4 linked regions of the Saccharomyces cerevisiae S288C genome follow. Changing the gene in region 2 together with the main gene of any one other region gives a genetic interaction. Each region holds a gene or a part of one and is shown on either strand. Other genes may lie near its edges. The genes, in order: MBA1, SLM1, ISC1 and MME1.

Evidence for each region.
Region 1: mutations in SLM1 (region 2) and MBA1 together harm fitness more than expected from each alone (negative genetic interaction), as found in Saccharomyces cerevisiae (2 studies listed by BioGRID).
Region 3: of SLM1 (region 2) and ISC1, a mutation in one rescues a mutant of the other (synthetic rescue), as found in Saccharomyces cerevisiae (one study listed by BioGRID).
Region 4: mutations in SLM1 (region 2) and MME1 together harm fitness more than expected from each alone (negative genetic interaction), as found in Saccharomyces cerevisiae (2 studies listed by BioGRID).

The regions. Positions count from the first base shown.
Region 1 is NC_001134.8:596,989-601,668, reverse strand, and holds MBA1 (Mba1p), read left to right. Parts: upstream 1-1,709; coding exon 1,710-2,546; downstream 2,547-4,680. Other genes in the region: PCH2 (Pch2p), read right to left, coding at 1-1,116; YBR184W (uncharacterized protein), read right to left, coding at 2,735-4,306; YPC1 (phytoceramidase), read right to left, coding at 4,604-4,680. UniProt on the Saccharomyces cerevisiae protein: Mitochondrial inner membrane-associated mitoribosome receptor that spatially aligns the mitoribosome exit tunnel with the membrane insertion machinery and allows cotranslational protein membrane insertion.
Region 2 is NC_001141.2:165,447-171,265, reverse strand, and holds SLM1 (phosphatidylinositol 4,5-bisphosphate-binding protein), read left to right. Parts: upstream 1-1,624; coding exon 1,625-3,685; downstream 3,686-5,819. Other genes in the region: Hsp90 cochaperone SHQ1, read left to right, coding at 1-1,284; YIL105W-A (uncharacterized protein), read right to left, coding at 3,462-3,602; MOB1 (Mob1p), read right to left, coding at 3,822-4,746, 4,832-4,851; PFK26 (6-phosphofructo-2-kinase), read left to right, coding at 5,505-5,819. UniProt on the Saccharomyces cerevisiae protein: Together with SLM2, acts as an effector of the TORC2- and calcineurin-signaling pathways. Phosphorylated and activated by TORC2 under favorable growth conditions. Mediates actin polarization via inhibition of calcineurin-dependent transcription.
Region 3 is NC_001137.3:190,468-195,680, forward strand, and holds ISC1 (inositol phosphosphingolipid phospholipase), read left to right. Parts: upstream 1-2,329; coding exon 2,330-3,763; downstream 3,764-5,213. Other genes in the region: AAA family ATPase AFG3, read right to left, coding at 1-1,321; kinetochore-associated Ndc80 complex subunit SPC25, read right to left, coding at 1,492-2,157; Arf family guanine nucleotide exchange factor SBH2, read right to left, coding at 3,806-4,072; GPA2 (guanine nucleotide-binding protein subunit alpha), read left to right, coding at 4,701-5,213. UniProt on the Saccharomyces cerevisiae protein: Responsible for the hydrolysis of the phosphosphingolipids (IPS), inositol phosphorylceramide (IPC), mannosylinositol phosphorylceramide (MIPC), and mannosyldiinositol phosphorylceramide (M(IP)2C).
Region 4 is NC_001145.3:591,233-596,427, reverse strand, and holds MME1 (Mme1p), read left to right. Parts: upstream 1-1,954; coding exon 1,955-3,061; downstream 3,062-5,195. Other genes in the region: mismatch repair ATPase MLH1, read right to left, coding at 1-1,542; phosphatidate phosphatase PAH1, read left to right, coding at 3,800-5,195.

The sequences.
Region 1 (4,680 bases), on a different chromosome or scaffold from region 2:
TATATTTTTTGACGATTCTCCAAACCATTTAGAAAAGATGCGTGCACAAGACAATTCTATTATTATCCCCTTATAATTAGTATCAATGGTATCGGAACCGTCTGAAAATTCCCGCCTCACAGATAATTTTTGGCAAAGTGCTTTGCATAACGTTGTTTTACCTGTTCCCGGAGGACCATGGACAAGGAGTAATTTATTATTTGTGATTAGCGTTGTAATGTCTTCTTGATTGGAGTCTCCAGTTTGTTTGAATCTTGCTATCTTGAGAGATATAGTTGCGTAGCTATATAACCTTTCTTTAATATTGTTACCAAAATACAACGATTCCCATTGGCCCTCGAAAGTTGTGCCTGGAAGATATGATATATTTACTAAGTTTAGTGTTTGCTTACTTAGTGGAATGTCAAAATTTCCCACCGAATTGATACAATTGTTTAAAGTTTCTCCCTCAAAACCATCATCCTCGTCTAGTTCTAAGTCAATCTTGTCGAACTCTGTGGACAGTATGCTGCCATTTTTCAGCTCATCTTGCTCTTCCAGACAGCAAAAGGGATATATAATGAACTCGTCAACAGATCCCATGTGATAAGTGTCCGACTCGTTGGTCTCCTCTGAATCTAAAATAGAATCTATGTGCTGACCCAAATTTATTTTCTCATGAAAGTTCAATTTAATAGAGACGTGTGATGTGGACTGTTGCTCTATAGAAATTTTTTTAACGAATAAGGATAGAAACAAATTATCTTGTCCTTCATTTACTGTGTTAACTTTGCCATTTATGCTTGAAAACTGGTGTAATAAAACTTTTGCTAGGCTTCTAATCAAATGTTGTTGCGCCTCCGTTGGTGGATCCTTAATTTCAATACTTCCTTGCCCCTCTCTCATTAATTCTTGGCCAGTTATAATCGAAGTCTTTAAACGGTCTTTTGGGAAACTTTCCAACTTCCTCTTGACCACTGCTTTTAACAGATTCAAAAATTCTCCCAGCTTTTTGTTGCTGTTTTGTTTCGAGTCAGAACCAGAATGTAGAGAAGAAATTTGCTCATCCTCTCTAAACATACATTTGATAACCCTCAGAGATGATCCTCGCACTTGTAGGTCAACTATGTAGCTCATATCCTTATTTTATGTCTTCAGTTTGAGATCAGAATATTTTTATGAAAATGTTGTCACTCTCTTTTAACCGCCTCGCATTTCGTAGATTTGCCGCCCACCTTATTGTCAACGGCAAATCTAAGGATATATATACATATATATATATTTTTGAGAAAGATTATATTTTCGCCAACGATGAAAAAGAGAAAAGTACAGTACTATGTATTATGTGTTTTTCAACTCAAGAGAGGGGCAAACATATAACTGGTGCTATATATGATTAAGGCTGCGCTCAAATATACTTCTTACTTAATTGACTGAACAATACGTTGATAAGATGAAGGAAGAGTCTCAGATATTGGTTTCACAAAAAATTCAGAGAATGGAGTCATTTCGGTTACGGGCAATCTTTCGGTGATTGGTACGGAGTATCGCGATCTTTACACGTTCCACTAGTCAATCCAATCCAATTTATTCATTTGTCCGTAAATATTCTGCCGGCCTTCTCCCCATATTACAAAATAAAAAAATAAAACCTGAGTAATGGAATAGTTGGAAAAGCAAGGCAAATTTCCATCAGAAAGCAAGCCTATCCATTCAGCTAAGCTTATGAGATGAGTGTATTAAGATCTACATGCCTTTTCTTCCCTCCAAGATCCTTGTTGATATCATTTAACAAGCGGCGATTATTTTCAACTTCGAGGTTAATTTTGAATAAAGAAAGTGAAACTACAAAGAAGAAAGATAAAAGTAAGCAGCAAGATTTTAATCCTCGGCACCTGGGTGTTGCTGCCGAAATATTTATCCCCTCGGCTTACAAGAACCTTCCAAATGTATTTGCTCATCCTCTCATTGTTGCAAATGCATTGATCAGAAGACTTTACACGTTTGGTTTGAACTCTGTTCAAGTCGCATTGTTTCGTTTTCAATCAGGCATTAAACCTTCTTTTTTACTCTGGAAAAACAAAGCCATAGAGACGTATATCAATGTAAACACGTCATTTGCTCATAAAAATTTGTCGGACATCAAAGGGTTAGTTTCATTATGGGTTCAGGAAGCTCTCGAGGCTAGGTCCCGTCAACTTCCAGGTAATGCAACACTGGACTGGCAGTTGATAAAGTTTAATGCAGTTCCTAAACTAGTCTCAGTGCAACCAATCATGATTCCCGGAATGCCGTTAGAGCATTTACAGTTGGTTTACAAATTTGATACGAAGCAAAGACTAATTAAAGTCAATCAGCAAACTAAGAAGACTGAGACGTTAGACCGTGACGTTGTAGACTATATTGCCTTTTTGTGTGATGCTACAACTAATGATATGATTTTAATGGGATCTTTGTTTGAAAGTAAACCAAATGATAAATTACCGAAAAGCTACGAGGACGATGCTAAAGTTGCCATACACAGAATGAAAGTTAACGGTGATATATATCGTTTACCTCCAAGCTAAGGCAATATGTATATAAATGCGAAAAGTTTTGGAACATCTGTAAATAGCCATTGCTTCATTTGAGTTTCTTATTCCACATACCACTTACATATTCAGTAAAAACTATTCATTTGTTTTTCATTCTGAAGTATATATATTAAATTTATTAAATAGTTTTTCATGAAAAAAGTTATTGAAGCATCTCCCTTTCAATAGTGCATTAACTCTCCCATTCTAACCCATCTTTCCGTTGAATCGTCATAGAACAATGTTTCTGACAGATTGGTTTTCCTATAACGATCTTTGCAGCACAATCTGTGAAATAATTTCCATAAGCCGGTAAGAATAGTCCTGTTATAGCTGATACTACCTTGTACATAATTCATATCACTGAGCTTTGCTTCATCTTTTAGAGGCTGAGACTTCTCAAAACCTTCTGCGCTATCCAAACGATAGGTGCTGATTTCTTTTAATGCCAATGAATTATTAGAACACTTCCTACATTTAAGAACAACCTCTTCCTCGGACCTTCTCTTTCTATTTTCTGTATCAAAAGAACTGTCTTTTTCAATTGCTGCTGTGTTGTGAGGAATAGATCGATAAAGTACTTTTTTTTGCCCTGTTCGAATAACAAAAAGAAATAATGTCAATTCATTTGCACTGTAACAGTAATCAGCGCTAAAACCCTTAGGATGATATCGATGATTTGAAAGTATAATTGTGAAGCCACTATATATATCACGCAGTAGCGTAAACTGTGCTGCTTCGGACTTCAAAAGTTGAATAGCGTATCGTGTGCATTCCCAAATATTATCGACAACGTTTGGATAGAGAATAAAGGATGTGTATACGGTTATTTCATGATGGGGTAGAAAACTGAGTGTAGAAGAAATATTTGCAATACAATTCGATTTAACTTGAAGTTGATAATTAAAATTGCTGAAGAAAACTCCGCTATTACAATTTTCAGAGGTGACTATTAAGTCATTTCTCTTCATTTGTAAAAGTGAGAATAATCGTAATATTTGCTTACAGTAAGGAAGACGTATCGCATTAGGTATCTTATCTTCTGAATTGTAATCATATCCGGAAACTTTTTTGGTTCCTCTTACTGCTGCAAATAGAGACGAATCTGAAATATCTCCCTCTTGTACGTCTTTTTTGGGTAAATCAATATTTCCCTGAATTTCTTGGACTTTAGAACATGAAAGATTTTTCCGTTTGCGATTTTTATTGCGTCTGCTAGCAATCTTCTCTATAAGTGCACATATGTCTTCATTGGGGATTTGGGACCAATTCTGATTTTCTATATCGGTATTTTGATTCTCATTTGTTGGGAAATACTTCGTCTTTTGTAATGGGGCAGATTGCCTTCTAGTTTTATTTTTTTTATCTGCTATGTCTTCTAAAATTTTACAAATTCTGCTCGTACTGAGTTGAGACCAATCGTGCCCTTTCTCAACATGGACGTTTTCCTTCTTGAGACATGGGATAGTTTTCATTGATAGTTCCATTTTGTTTTCACTTGCGCTCGTTTTGGCATGTTGAATGGCATCCGCCAGCATTCTTGCTTTTGGGTAATAAGGACAAATATCCATTATATCCAAATCTTCCTTTTCCTCATAGCCTGTAAAATTATTAGGTTCGGATACTGTGTGCTCTATGTTGTTATTAAATGTTATTATTGGTCTTTTGTGGTTTCTTAATATTGTTCCACTATCGTATTGAAAGTTTGATTTTTCAGAAGCCAAAATAGCATTCAATACATTATTTTGGTACATGTCCCGAATTAGCTAACAAATTTCTTAGTATTTGTGTTACAACAATTAGAGATTTTGTTTTGTTTATTTACTTTCATCAATTCACGTTATTTTGCCGCCGACGGCTTTGAGACCGCACAAAGTTTTTTTTCACCAGAGCAATAAGCTGGGTCATTTAAACTATTCGCAAATCAAGGATTCAAAAGATCTTTTCTTAGATATATTTTCTTCGTGATTCGTCATTAAATAGAACATGAAATAAAAAAAATAAAAAATAAATATGCCTATACATTATGAATATATATTATGCTATAATTATTACTTCTCCTTTTTAACTTCAATTGATTGATCTTCTACGTATGGGCCAAATAGTTCAAGTGAATATCTTGTTGAGG
Region 2 (5,819 bases):
CTGAATAAAAATGAATATTTCGAAGATTTGGACCTACCGACAAAGTTGTTGGCTAGGCAAGGCGATCTTGCAGGTGCCGATGCATTAACAGAAAATACTGATGCGAAAAAAACCCAAAAGCCCCTTATTCAAGAGGTCGAAACTGATGGCGTGTCGAATAATATTAAAGATGATGTGAAGACTATTGGTCAAATGGGAGAGGGGTTTAATTGGGAGATAGAGCAAAAGATGGATTCCAGCACCAATAATGGAATATTGAAGACAAAATATGGGTTTGATAACTTATATGATACAGTTATATCAGTGTCGACAAGCAACGGGAACGATATCAATGAATTAGACGATCCTGAACACACTGACGCGAACGATAGAGTTATTGAAAGGTTAAGAAAAGAAAATTTGAAGTTTGATCCTGAGTACTATGTTTCCGAGTATATGACACATAAATACGGTAACGAGGAAGACTTGGAAATTAACGGCATTAAAGAACTACTGAAGTTTACACCTTCGATCGTAAAGCAATACCTGCAATGGTACAAAGACAGTACGAACCCAAATCTGGTCATGCCAATTGAGTTTACTGACGAGGAACAAAAACAGATGCAGGACAATTTACCCAAGAAGTCTTATCTCGTGGAAGATATAAAACCACTTTATGTCACTATACTCAGCGTTCTTTTCAGTTATGTGTTTGAACAGATCGAAAACGAAGGTACTCATACCACAGAGAGTGCTTGGACCATGGGAAAATTGTGCCCTCAAATATCATTCTTAGACCAACAATTAAAACAGGTGAACGAACTGCAAGACGGTATGAAAGAAATATCAAAGGTTAATAAAGACAGCTCTCTCATCAAGATTGCAATCATTACAGGTATCAGGAGAGCCCTGAGTTATCCACTACATAGAAACTATGACCTAGCAATGAAAGCGTGGACATTCGTATATTATATTCTACGAGGTGGTAAGAGACTAGTCATAAGGGCGCTTTTGGACATTCATGAAACATTTCGTTTCCATGATGTTTACTACGTCTACGACAAAGTTCTCTTGGATGATCTGACTGCGTGGTTCATTTCTCAGGGTAGTGAGAACGTCATAAGAAGTCTGGCCTTGGAAATGAGAAAAGAGCAAGAGTCACTTTCCAAGCAGGATATTGAATTTGAATGTATTGCATCGTTCAACGAACAAACTGGCGAACCTGAGTGGGAGACACTAAATATAAGAGAGATGGAAATTTTGGCAGAGTCTGAATACCGAGAGCAGCAGCAGAACCCACAATGAAGATCATTTGAATGTTTAGCGTAGATTACTGCATTAGATAGAGTATATATTGATTAACGTTCCTGCAGGGGCCTAAAATTGGGTTACCCTTCTCTTCCCGCGGCTTTTCCCCTCATGGCATTACGTATTCCATCGAAGAAGGGAGAAGGCTTTCAAGCCTTGAAGAGTGACAGCGATCCAAGCTGGGGGGGGGAAAAACAACGAGGACATCTGTTGAGCCCTTGAATTGGTACAACCTATTAGAGTGTTCTTATATCTGCATTTGGTCATCTTCTTTTGAAGCTTTTTAAAGAAAAAAAGTAGTTAACAATAAAAGAATACAACATTAAAAGAAAAAAAAATGTCGAAAAACAACACAATGACCTCTGCGGTCTCTGATATGCTGTCACAGCAACAGCTAAATCTTCAGCACCTGCATAACTTGCAGCAGCATACGAGAAGTATGACTTCAGCAGATCATGCCAACGTTTTACAACAACAGCAACAACAACAACAACAACAACAGCAGCAGCAGCAGCAACAGCAGCAGAGCGCAAGCTTTCAAAATGGCAGTTTGACATCCGATATAAACCAACAAAGCTATTTGAATGGACAACCAGTTCCTTCCACTAGTAATTCAACGTTTCAAAACAATAGGACGCTGACGATGAATTCTGGAGGGTTGCAAGGTATCATAAGCAATGGTTCTCCTAATATCGACTCGAACACCAATGTAACCATTGCTGTCCCAGATCCCAATAATAACAACGGGAAACAGCTCCAAGGGAAAAACTCTTTAACCAACACTTCAATACTGTCGAGGGCTAGGTCTTCCTTACAACGTCAAAGACTTGCTCAGCAACAGCAACAACAACAAGATCCTAGATCTCCATTAGTAATACTGGTCCCTACAGCTGCGCAACCAACAGATATTCTTGCAGCGAGGTTTTCAGCTTGGAGAAATGTCATCAAGTCGGTGATCGTTTACTTAACAGAAATCGCTTCTATTCAGGATGAAATTGTTAGACAGCAACTAAGATTATCACATGCTGTACAATTCCCATTCTTTTCGATCGAGAATCAATACCAACCAAGCTCGCAGGAGGATAAATCAGTACAAAAGTTTTTTTTGCCATTGGGTAATGGCTCGATACAGGACTTACCAACAATTTTGAACCAGTATCATGAATCCCTAGCATCCAGCGCGTCTAAGGCATCAAGGGAATTGACCAATGATGTTATTCCTCGTTTGGAAGACTTGAGGAGAGATCTAATAGTCAAGATAAAGGAAATAAAATCACTGCAGTCGGATTTCAAAAATTCTTGTTCCAAAGAGTTACAACAAACAAAACAGGCCATGAAGCAATTTCAGGAGTCTTTAAAGGATGCGCGCTATTCAGTGCCAAAACAAGATCCATTCTTAACCAAGCTGGCGCTTGATAGACAAATTAAAAAGCAACTTCAGGAGGAAAACTTTCTGCATGAAGCTTTTGATAATTTAGAGACTTCAGGCGCTGAATTAGAAAAAATTGTAGTTATGGAAATTCAAAACTCTTTAACAATATATGCCAGATTACTGGGACAAGAAGCACAATTGGTTTTCGATATATTGATATCCAAATTAGATTCTGGATTTTTCAACGTTGACCCACAATTTGAATGGGATAACTTCATTTCAAGGGATCCCAACTTTTTATTGCCTAATCTACCGATGAGGACATTCAAAGAAATCGTTTACAAATACCAATTCGATCCTTTGACTTATGAAATCAAATCAGGGTTTTTAGAAAGAAGATCAAAATTTCTAAAATCCTATTCAAAAGGGTATTATGTGCTGACACCGAACTTTTTACATGAATTCAAGACCGCGGACAGAAAAAAAGATTTAGTACCAGTGATGTCGTTAGCATTAAGTGAATGTACTGTGACGGAACATTCCCGGAAAAACAGTACATCATCACCAAATTCGACTGGTTCGGATGCTAAGTTTGTGTTGCATGCTAAGCAAAACGGCATAATTCGTCGTGGTCACAATTGGGTTTTTAAAGCCGATTCTTATGAATCAATGATGTCTTGGTTTGATAATTTGAAGATCTTAACATCTACTTCGAATATACAAGACAAGTATAAATTCATAACACAAAAATTAAACTTGAATTCAGATGGGAAACCCAAGCTAACCAATAACCATACCAGCATTAATAAGTATCAGCTGAGTAATGCCAATAGCACAATGGTAGAAAATGATGAAAACGATGATATAAATAGTAATTATGTGGGGTCCACGGTAACACCAAAATTGGACAATCAAACAAATACGAATACATCCATGTCTTCATTACCTGATACTAATGATTCTGAATTACAAGATCAAGTTCCCAATATTTATATTCAAACTCCAATAAACGATTTCAAATCATAAATACAAGTATAGTAAACTAGAATGTTTTTATTTCCTTCCATCCATATGTTATATTAATATGTTTCCGTATTTTTGTTTTTGTGTCCCATGCATGGAAGAATACAACCTACAAGCAGACTTATATAAATATACAATACTACCTATCCCTCAACTCCATCACTAATTCTAACAGCGGACCAAAATCAGCCGGTCTTAGTAGTTCGAACTCTTGTGCAAAAAGACAAAAATGTCTAAAACTTGTGTTTAGTACGGTTTGTAAATTTAGTTCAAGAATTTCATTAAAATGATGACAGTAAATATGCGCATAAACTCTGAATAATCGCCTTAGAATTGGTTGAATTACTCGTTGGATGAATCCCTCCGGGAAGGTACCGGTGACTTTGGAAGGAAAAAGAGATTCGTCATCAAATTGGTCTTGACACCACCTCATCAAACATTCCACATACTTAGGGGCACTTACCGAAACGGGGGGCTGACCCTTTTGAAATGCCCAAAGATATTCATATTCGTTCGTCGCTATCATCCTCGGGCATGTTTGTGGGGAGCAAAATTCTGTGATGGACCCGTATAACATATTAATCTGATTGTAAAAATCCACGCAATGAACCGCTAGCCATTCATTCTCATCCTCACCACGCGGTAACTTCACAGCTTGGTTAAGGACTCCCTCAGACCCCAGTGTCATCTCCACAATTTGCTTGATGTCTTGATGTGTTGTAACTGTCGTACCTGCTTGCGGTTGTAGAAACGGCTTCTGATGCGATGGTGTATAGTTAAAGTCCGTTACATTTTGTAATTGTTCAGGCGGAGGGGCGTGCCTCTTTGGCGTAGTGAGGACGGGAGACATCCTTCCATGGTCGCTTTCATTATATCCGTTTACTGGATTGTTTGTAAAATCTGCTCTATTGTTAATAGTATTGGCATTATTATTATTGCCGTTAATAGTATTGTTATGGGGAGTTGCCTTAGTAGGCGATACAGAGCCTGCATTATTAGCTGCATTGGCAGTATTCCACTTGAAACCTCTAGTAGATCTTATTGTTTGGCCGGGACTTATATGACTGCTTTCAAAAGGTAACTCATACCCAGTTTGTTAATAAAAGATGAACAATAATACTTGAAGTAGAAAAGAAAATAGCAACATACAAATTTTGTAGAAAAGACATGGAAATTGAAGTCCTTATTGAATTAGGAAAATTTTGTTGAAGATACTAACAAAAAAACCGGTTTTCTCTCGAATAAACTAAAAAAATATCTATACAGCTCAAACGGGCTGAGCTAAGGCTCTTTTAGATCAGTAATGTTACCAAAGCTATAATTGTAATTCTTCTAACGTTTTGATATTTCCATTTTGGGAAGTAGTATTACCCTTCTTTTGATCGAACGTATTTGTCATATTATACGAGTGGGATACCCGACCGATAATAATAATCACGTTTATATCACGTGATCATCTCTGAATACCAAAATCACAACATACGGAAATTAGGGGACATAAGATTTTTTGAGGAGAGATTTCTTTTCCTATTTATTTTTAATCGCGCCATTACTGACAATAGCAAATTAATTTATAGTGGAGTACATGGACTATTTATTATAGATTTTGTTGGCATATTCTTTTTTTAACAATAAAAGGTATACATATATATATATAGACAAACTCAAGTATTCAGTTACGGGTAAATCAAGTGAAATAAATTTCGCCTTTTAGTATCTATTTGTGTACTTTTGTGCCATAAGCTAAAAGAGTAAAAATAATAACAAGAGGCGTAGAAGAAGGGTTTATTCAAGGGAACAAAGGCAAGAGGAATAAAAGCTCATGTTCAAACCAGTAGACTTCTCTGAAACATCTCCTGTGCCGCCTGATATTGATCTTGCTCCTACACAATCTCCACACCATGTGGCACCTAGTCAAGACTCCAGTTATGATCTTTTATCCCGGAGTTCCGATGATAAAATTGATGCTGAAAAGGGTCCGCATGATGAATTATCTAAGCACTTACCACTTTTTCAGAAAAGACCTTTGAGCGATACTCCTATATCGAGCAATTGGAACTCTCCTGGAATCACTGAAGAAAATACACCTTCTGACTCTCCTGAAAATAGCGCTACTAATTTGAAATCGCTACATCGA
Region 3 (5,213 bases), on a different chromosome or scaffold from region 2:
ACACATCGGGCCTATTTGTACCCGCAAGGACTACGACTTGGTCGGAAGTAGTGAATCCGTCCATTTCCACCAATAATTGATTCAGCGTAGCTTCTCTTTCATCGTTAGCGCCACCGAGAGCGCCGCCTTTGCCTCTTTCTTTACCGATAGCGTCAATTTCATCTATAAAGATAATCGAGGGGGCCATAGACCTTGCTTGAGTAAACAAGTCTCTTACACGTGAAGCACCCACCCCAACGAACATTTCGACGAACTCAGAACCTGATACTGACAAGAAGGGCACGTTCGCCTCACCTGCGGTGGCCTTGGCCAAGAGAGTCTTACCGGTACCTGGGGGTCCAGAAAGAATAGCGCCTCGTGGAATCTTGGCACCCAATTTAGTGTACTTACCTGGGTTCTTCAAAAAGTGAACAAATTCCATGATTTCCTGTTTAGCTTCATCACAACCGGCAACATTTTTAAATGAAATTTTAATGTCTGTTTCCTTATTGAAGAGCTTTGCTCTGGATTTTCCAACATTAAACATGCCGCCGAGGCCTCCTCCACCACCACCATTGGCATTTGGTGGTGAACTATTTATTTTTCTGGTTATGAAGTAAAGGCCACCAAGCAGAATGATGGTGGGCAGGAAGGGGAACAAAAATGTGAAGGGAGAAGATCTCTCAATGTATTTGATGGGGATACGATCCCGAGGAGGAATGTTCAAGAGGTCCTGGATCTGGTCCATCTGTTCCTCAAAAATATCTACTGAACCAATGGTGAACGATACAACTTGCTTTGTATTGACTAATTCGGCCTCTACGAGAAACTTATTAACGACGTAAATCTTGGACACAAGACCCTTCTCCAGGTATTTTGTTTTGAAATCCTGGAAAGTCAAGACGCGGTTAGAGTCGTCTCCTGAGTTGTTACTGGAAGGTGTGAGCAAAGTAAATATAATTGTGAATCCGATGGTCAAAAACATCGTATTAGCAAATTCCTTAGATCTGAAGTATTCTGATAATGAACCAAACTCATTTCTTTTGTCTTTGCCATCTTCTTTATTGCTATTATTATCTTTATTACCATTGTTCTTGCCCTCACCCTCTTTGTTTGGCCTATTTTCATTTAACCTTGTCCATGAGATATGGAAGGAACGTATTTGGGTAGAACGGTGTATTGTGTTTCTGGTTGCCAGACCAGATAACGTCTGCAAACGCTGGTGAACTGGCATGCGCGAGCGAAGCACTGGCTTCACTGTTGATATGCGGCTAGCTTTACCAAATGAGAGTGATGTCAATGAGCGTGGCGCACCCCTTGCATATCGTTGCCACATCATCATCACTTAGTATATTATAAAATAAGTGGATGATGCCTTTATTTGAAGACTGCGTTAATCTCCTTTAATATAGAATGGGTCCTTGTAAAAGTTATGTATAGACAGTAAGAACCAATTTATTCCTCATCTAAATCATAGGCCCAGAATAAACTGAACAGATGCGTATAAAGGCGTTATAAAGATGCCAGAAGCATATCGCGGGCCACGACTAAAAATGCCGCGAGGTCGCCCTGGACGGTAAGCACGTGCTCAAGTGTTGCCCGACTCTTGGGGTCCAGCGCCGGGTGAGAGTTTCCGATCACGTGGTCTCCGTGCATCGCGACTTCGATCCAGCAGCGTGAATCATCGCCGAATACGAAACGTACGTCATGCACATCGCTGGCTCCGGGTAGTACACGAAGCTGCAACAGCCGTTCGTACAGTGCGACCTCTGCGGCATCGTTACCCGACTGCGCAGCCCAACGTGCGCGTAATTGGACACACTCTTTACCACGCTGTTGCAGCAGCGAGTCCAGCTCGCGCGATTGGGCTGCTAAGGTCGACTGCCGTCTAGATAACTCAGATTCACGCTCGTGATAGCTTCTCCACTGCTCTCTGGTGGTATTTGTAGCTTGTTGGGCCGCATGTATTTGTTGCTGCAGAGCGGTGCGCTGGGTGGCAAGCCGTTGCAGTTCATCTATGAGATGTTGGTGTTGGTTATGTAATTGACGCATTTCCGCTTGGAACTGTTGCAGCTGTTGGCGCGCGTGGTTTTGCTGACGTGCCAGTACCTGGGCCACGTCCTTTTGGAACCCGTCCATCCGGCGCTCAAGGTCCGAAAATGCGTCTATGCTGGCCATTCTTGTATGTGTGTATGTGTTGTATACGTATGAGCGGTTTTAATTGAATCGGCTTAGCCTGTTTTTGTTTTTGTTTTTGTTTTGTTTTGGTTTGGTTTGATTTATTTTGGTTTGGCTTAAATCTTCGAGGAAATTTGCGCTTTCCGCGTAAAAAGGGAAAAAAAGCAGATATATGTACAACAGAAAAGACAGAGATGTTCACGAGAGGAAGGAAGATGGTCAATCTGAGTTTGAAGCACTGAACGGGACCAACGCAATTATGTCCGATAATAGTAAAGCGTATTCCATAAAGTTTCTGACCTTCAATACATGGGGGTTAAAATACGTCTCCAAACACCGTAAAGAAAGACTCAGAGCAATTGCTGATAAATTGGCGGGCCACTCAATGCTTACGCCAATATCTGACGAGTTGTTGCCCAATGGTGGAGATAGTAATGAAAACGAAGATTACGACGTGATTGCCTTACAAGAAATCTGGTGTGTGGAAGACTGGAAGTATCTAGCTTCTGCGTGTGCCTCCAAGTATCCGTATCAGCGTTTGTTCCATTCTGGTATTCTGACGGGGCCTGGGTTGGCCATACTGTCCAAGGTCCCGATAGAGTCGACCTTTCTTTACCGGTTCCCGATAAACGGTAGACCGAGTGCGGTGTTCCGTGGCGACTGGTACGTAGGGAAATCTATAGCAATCACCGTATTGAACACAGGAACCCGCCCCATTGCAATAATGAACAGTCACATGCACGCCCCATACGCCAAGCAGGGTGATGCCGCCTACTTGTGCCACAGATCTTGTCAGGCCTGGGATTTCAGCAGGCTCATTAAGCTTTACAGGCAGGCCGGTTATGCGGTGATTGTGGTGGGTGACTTAAACTCCAGACCGGGCTCACTGCCCCACAAATTTCTCACGCAGGAGGCCGGCCTGGTCGACTCCTGGGAGCAATTGCATGGGAAGCAAGACTTGGCGGTGATCGCTCGTCTGTCTCCATTGCAACAATTGCTTAAGGGCTGTACCACGTGCGATTCGCTGCTCAACACATGGAGGGCCCAAAGACAACCCGATGAGGCATGCAGGTTGGATTATGCTCTTATCGACCCTGATTTCTTGCAAACAGTAGACGCAGGTGTCAGGTTCACTGAACGGATCCCTCACCTGGACTGCAGTGTCTCTGACCATTTTGCATACTCATGCACCCTTAACATCGTCCCACAGGGCACAGAGTCCCGTCCATCCACCTCCGTTAAGCGTGCGAAGACTCATGATAGAGAGCTGATCTTGCAGAGATACTCCAACTACGAAACCATGATAGAATGCATCCACACGTACTTGAAGACAGCCCAAAGACAGAAATTTTTCCGTGGCCTACATTTCTGGGCCTCAATACTTCTCCTAATAGCGTCGTTGGTCGTGACAACGTTTACTGCAAACAAGGCAGGCTGGTCCTCCATCTTCTGGGTCCTTTTCGCTATTGCTGTCTCCATCTCGGGCACCATCGACGGTGCCATCTCCTTCTTGTTTGGCAGGTCTGAAATCAGAGCCCTCATCGAAGTCGAACAAGAGGTTCTGGACGCGGAGCACCACCTGCAAACTTTCTTGAGCGAGAAATGATATTATCGATTTTCTTTAGCATATGTAAAAAAATTACTGATATTATATAATGTGTGTAAATTTCGTCAATAGATGCAAAGCAATCACGGAGAAGATGAAACCGACAGATAGGAACAATACGACAAGGGAGTCGACTCTGAATCCATTGGCTTCGTCCGTATATAACTTCAAAATTGAGCTTGAAGACCCACCGTAACCAGCCTGTCTGGTGGAAGTGGGCGTTTGTTTTGCTTGCTTTTCCTTAATGGATTGTGCCTGTCTTCTCTTCTGCAAGATACGCTGACCTCCTGGTGGAACTGAAGCTGCCATTCTTATGATACTGTTGATCGATAATACCACCTGTTTTATGCTTTGCGCCCCTTACCTTTTCTCACACGCACATATATCTACTCTCTCATACCTCTTATATCTAAAATGTCTCTTTTGGCCAGTTAGTAACTGAATGAAAAAGTGAAAATGGAGGAAAAAAAAAAAGACGAAATCCAAAAGGCTAAGGAAACGGGTAACCCGTGGTACCCGGGGCAGAATCAAACTTATAATTACTAAAGATATACCATATATTACGATCCCTGCGCCCGGCGTGCTCCACATTAAGTAAATGTCTGGAGTAAAATGAAGTCCGCCAATTCAGTCACAAAACATGACTACTGCCTCGTTCGCGATTTCTTCTTCCCTTACTTCATCATGTTCAAGCCCCCTCAGCTGCGCCCAAATGATTCTTCTTATCCTCTTGCATACTGCACCGAAAAAAAAAGTTAATAAGCAGCAGGATTTATAGGCGCGTGCGTGCAGCCTTAGACTGAAGGGGTGGAAAAACTTTAGGTAGGTTTGGTTCTCACTACCCAAAGAGCAATCGATAGGTATAAAAGTGAGCAATTGCTATCACAGCGAGCCTTATTGTTACAGCACAAATCACGCGTATTTTCAAGCAAATATCATGGGTCTCTGCGCATCTTCAGAAAAGAACGGCAGCACTCCTGACACGCAGACCGCCAGCGCTGGTAGTGACAACGTTGGCAAAGCGAAGGTACCACCAAAGCAGGAGCCACAGAAGACTGTGAGAACAGTCAACACAGCAAATCAACAAGAAAAGCAACAACAGAGGCAGCAGCAGCCGTCTCCGCATAATGTTAAGGACCGCAAGGAGCAAAACGGGAGCATTAATAACGCGATATCTCCCACGGCTACGGCAAATACAAGCGGATCGCAACAGATCAATATCGACTCTGCCCTGAGAGACAGGTCGAGTAACGTTGCAGCACAACCATCATTGTCGGACGCTTCAAGTGGCAGCAACGACAAAGAACTGAAAGTGCTACTGCTGGGTGCCGGTGAAAGTGGTAAGTCCACGGTATTGCAGCAGTTGAAGATTTTACACCAGAACGGGTTTAGCGAGCAGGAAATTAAAGAGTACATCCCCTTGATCTATCAGAATCTATTGGAAATTGGC
Region 4 (5,195 bases), on a different chromosome or scaffold from region 2:
GATACTCGTAAGATTAACATTAACTCGCTCCTTAGGTACTCTAATATACCCGTCTTTTGAAATCGGGAGTGCATTCTTTTCGTCATCGGCAATGCTTGGAACTTTATAATCCCCCAACTTTTGTTTCTTCTTAGGTTGATCCTTCAAGTCATTATCATTGATTGTATTGGCATCACGCGGTTGTTCGCTTTCATTTAGTGTCAGCTTTTCTGCCTCTTGGGAGTGGCTTACATTTGTTACCTTGGGTTCACTCAGTTGTCGCTTTGTAGACGATCCTTCAAAGTTGAACTGTTGACTTGAGGATAAAAATGACGTAATTTTAGCTTGTGAAGCATCTATTCTGACTAGTTTATTCTCTTGTCTTTTCGCTTTCCTTAGTTGACTATTGGCTGTCGTATATGAATTCTCTACCACTTGGGCTTGTCGGAGACTCTTCCTATTCCTATCACTTTCTATGGTGTCATTAAATGGTATCAATGACTCTGGCTTGTTTGTTGAAATTGAAGAAGCCTTGAAAGTACGTGAAGTATCAATGGCAGATAATTCGGCGTGCAATTGATTGGCGATTTTCTCTATGATCTCATCTTGGCTCAGGAAACGAACCTCTCTCTTTGTCGGGTGAACGTTAACATCAACAGCCGCCGGATCTATAACAATTCCCAAATAAATAAAAGGTCTGTTGCCCTTTGGCAGATAATTGGAGTAAACGCTGTTCAAAGCTCTTCTTAGAAGATCACATGTCACTAGTCTATTATTAATGAAAAAAATTGGTGAAATGGACTTTTTGGATATGAAATTCAAATTACACACCTTTCCATCAACGCTTTCCAGGTTTAAATCTTCTACTTTGCTGATATGAAAAGTAATTAAATTCGAAGCCACAGATTTATTGAACACAGTCCTAATCCTATCCTGGACGGTATATGAAGGTTTAACTGATAAAGAATAATTAGAGTCTCCGAACTTTTTACAAGAAAAGCCAATGTCCTTGGAATGAATGGCGTATCGCCCGACAACATCTAATATTTTAGAGTATTCATCATTATGGGACCTCAAGGCCCTTAATCTAGAAGGAATATTGAAAAAAAGGTCTTCAACTAGGATCGTGGTACCGTCTTTTCCAGCAACAGGTTTGGGGCTTTCCAACATCTTACCTTCTGCATATGAAACTCTCCATGCACATCTGTCTTCTTTAACTTTTGTCGTTACTGTGACTCTTGCCACATGTGAGATACTGGCTAAAGCTTCTCCTCGGAATCCATACGTTTGAATCTGACTCAAATCTTCGAATTTTTGTAATTTGGACGTCGTGAATCGCTCACATAAGATTGGCAGGTCTGCTTTATTAATTCCAGATCCGTTATCTGTTATTTGAAGTACCTTAATTCCTCCTTCCTTGACTAGAATATCAATCATTGTAGCATTCGCATCGATGGAATTCTCCATCATTTCTTTGAGAGCATTTACGGGGGATATTATGATCTCACCTGCAGCAATTTTGTTAACCACTGATGCATCAAGTGCTTTTATTCTGAGAGACATTGCTTATTGATAGGTCTATGTTATTTTTACCTTCCATTTACTATCACTATCGTATCAAAATTTTGCAGTTAAATTGTCCTAGCATGCTAGCGCGATTACTAAACACCGAAAACTGCTAATTTCTCGTCTTCGAGAACTCCTCAACTATAATGAAACAGCAAGCGGTCTCAAAAGTCTTTGGCAATAGCAGCGCCTCCTACACTATCTTTGCATGCAATAGAAGGTATCACATTCCTATTTTTCTTGCGATTGAACTCTAACTTGACATCTCTAGGACCCTACAACGATAGCGACTTCTTACATTGTGTTCATTAATTTGAAAAAACATCAAAGCAAGCCGAAAACAAACGCTGAGTATTCTAACGAAGCACGCATAATAATCTTCACTTCCAACCGACTGGTATAAAAGATAATGAACTCATGGAACCTGAGTTCTTCAATACCGATAATACATACGCCTCATGACCATCCCCCGACATCAGAAGGAACTCCAGATCAACCAAATAATAACCGAAAAGATGATAAACTGCACAAAAAAAGAGGCGATTCAGATGAGGACTTAAGCCCTATATGGCATTGTGTCGTCTCCGGTGGGATTGGTGGAAAAATAGGAGATTCTGCGATGCATTCATTGGATACTGTTAAGACAAGACAACAGGGCGCACCCAATGTCAAAAAATACAGGAACATGATCTCTGCATATCGTACCATTTGGCTAGAAGAAGGCGTGAGAAGGGGGCTATACGGCGGTTACATGGCTGCCATGTTAGGCTCCTTCCCGTCAGCGGCAATCTTCTTTGGGACCTATGAATATACTAAGAGAACAATGATAGAAGATTGGCAGATTAACGATACCATCACACATTTGAGCGCTGGATTTCTTGGCGATTTTATCTCCAGTTTTGTTTATGTTCCATCAGAGGTCCTAAAGACAAGGCTACAATTGCAAGGAAGGTTCAATAATCCTTTCTTTCAATCTGGCTATAATTATTCGAATTTAAGAAATGCCATAAAGACAGTTATAAAAGAAGAAGGGTTTCGCTCACTATTTTTTGGATACAAAGCCACTTTAGCCAGAGATTTGCCATTTAGTGCATTGCAGTTTGCCTTCTACGAAAAGTTTAGGCAATTGGCTTTCAAGATTGAACAGAAAGATGGTAGGGATGGTGAGTTGTCTATACCTAATGAAATATTGACTGGTGCCTGTGCAGGTGGACTGGCGGGAATCATTACCACACCAATGGATGTTGTTAAGACTAGAGTCCAAACTCAACAGCCGCCCAGCCAAAGCAACAAATCATACTCAGTAACACATCCACATGTAACAAACGGCAGACCGGCAGCACTTTCCAACTCGATTTCGCTCAGCCTTCGGACGGTCTACCAATCTGAAGGTGTGTTAGGTTTCTTTAGTGGCGTTGGCCCTAGATTCGTCTGGACAAGTGTTCAGAGCAGTATAATGTTGCTTCTGTATCAAATGACCCTACGCGGATTAAGTAACGCATTTCCAACGGACTAAGAGCCTGATTTCTGGCTCATCTAACTCTCTAGAGGATAATTTTATGTGATAAAACTTTTCCTACAAGCGGCTACAATAAAGACAGTACAAGGGACCTCACCCTATTCGCCATCACTGCACATCACAGTGGGTCTTGTACTTATCATTTCACATACATAGATATAGGTTCTTCCGAATAAGTTTTGTATATAGTCATTTACGGCAAGAATACTCATCTAAGTTTAATACGCATTTCTCTCTTCGTTCGCAGTTCCTAACACTGAGCGTTCTTGTTTGGAGGGCTCGTTTAAAAAAAAGTCTAACAAATGTGACAGATTTGCTTGAACAGGGTCCAAACTCATCTTGTATATCATAACACTACATCACTGGGAGACAAAATCGAAGTGCCCACGTGCTGCTCATTCTCTAAACGGTCTGTCGCGGGCCCTTTTCGTCCTTCGGTTTCCCTCCCTTTAGACAATGGGCTCTCTTTTCTCTATTATCTATCTCTTTTTCTCGGCTTTTCCGGCCAGCGTTGAAAGCAGCGCACGGTGAGGGTAGAAGGAAGAGCAAGGACAAGTGAAGAGTAGGCCATCGTGGGGGCTTGTGTTTATAAAGAAAATACATTCAACAATTTAGTAAAACGTGTTCAAGAAGTGTTAATCAGACCAATTGGACACTACACCTTCGTAATCACAGTTTTACCTTCTAAGAAACATACAGGGAAGAAATTACTGAAGATAGACACATCGGTCGATTATGCAGTACGTAGGCAGAGCTCTTGGGTCTGTGTCTAAAACATGGTCTTCTATCAATCCGGCTACGCTATCAGGTGCTATAGATGTCATTGTAGTGGAGCATCCAGACGGAAGGCTATCATGTTCTCCCTTTCATGTGAGGTTCGGCAAATTTCAAATTCTAAAGCCATCTCAAAAGAAAGTCCAAGTGTTTATAAATGAGAAACTGAGTAATATGCCAATGAAACTGAGTGATTCTGGAGAAGCCTATTTCGTTTTCGAGATGGGTGACCAGGTCACTGATGTCCCTGACGAATTGCTTGTGTCGCCCGTGATGAGCGCCACATCAAGCCCCCCTCAATCACCTGAAACATCCATCTTAGAAGGAGGAACCGAGGGTGAAGGTGAAGGTGAAAATGAAAATAAGAAGAAGGAAAAGAAAGTGCTAGAGGAACCAGATTTTTTAGATATCAATGACACTGGAGATTCAGGCAGTAAAAATAGTGAAACTACAGGGTCGCTTTCTCCTACTGAATCCTCTACAACGACACCACCAGATTCAGTTGAAGAGAGGAAGCTTGTTGAGCAGCGTACAAAGAACTTTCAGCAAAAACTAAACAAAAAACTCACTGAAATCCATATACCCAGTAAACTTGATAACAATGGCGACTTACTACTAGACACTGAAGGTTACAAGCCAAACAAGAATATGATGCATGACACAGACATACAACTGAAGCAGTTGTTAAAGGACGAATTCGGTAATGATTCAGATATTTCCAGTTTTATCAAGGAGGACAAAAATGGCAACATCAAGATCGTAAATCCTTACGAGCACCTTACTGATTTATCTCCTCCAGGTACGCCTCCAACAATGGCCACAAGCGGATCAGTTTTAGGCTTAGATGCAATGGAATCAGGAAGTACTTTGAATTCGTTATCTTCTTCACCTTCTGGTTCCGATACTGAGGACGAAACATCATTTAGCAAAGAACAAAGCAGTAAAAGTGAAAAAACTAGCAAGAAAGGAACAGCAGGGAGCGGTGAGACCGAGAAAAGATACATACGAACGATAAGATTGACTAATGACCAGTTAAAGTGCCTAAATTTAACTTATGGTGAAAATGATCTGAAATTTTCCGTAGATCACGGAAAAGCTATTGTTACGTCAAAATTATTCGTTTGGAGGTGGGATGTTCCAATTGTTATCAGTGATATTGATGGCACCATCACAAAATCGGACGCTTTAGGCCATGTTCTGGCAATGATAGGAAAAGACTGGACGCACTTGGGTGTAGCCAAGTTATTTAGCGAGATCTCCAGGAATGGCTATAATATACTCTATCTAACTGCAAGAAGTGCTGGACAAGCTGATTCCACGAGGAGTTATTTGCGATCAATTGAACAGAATGGCAGCA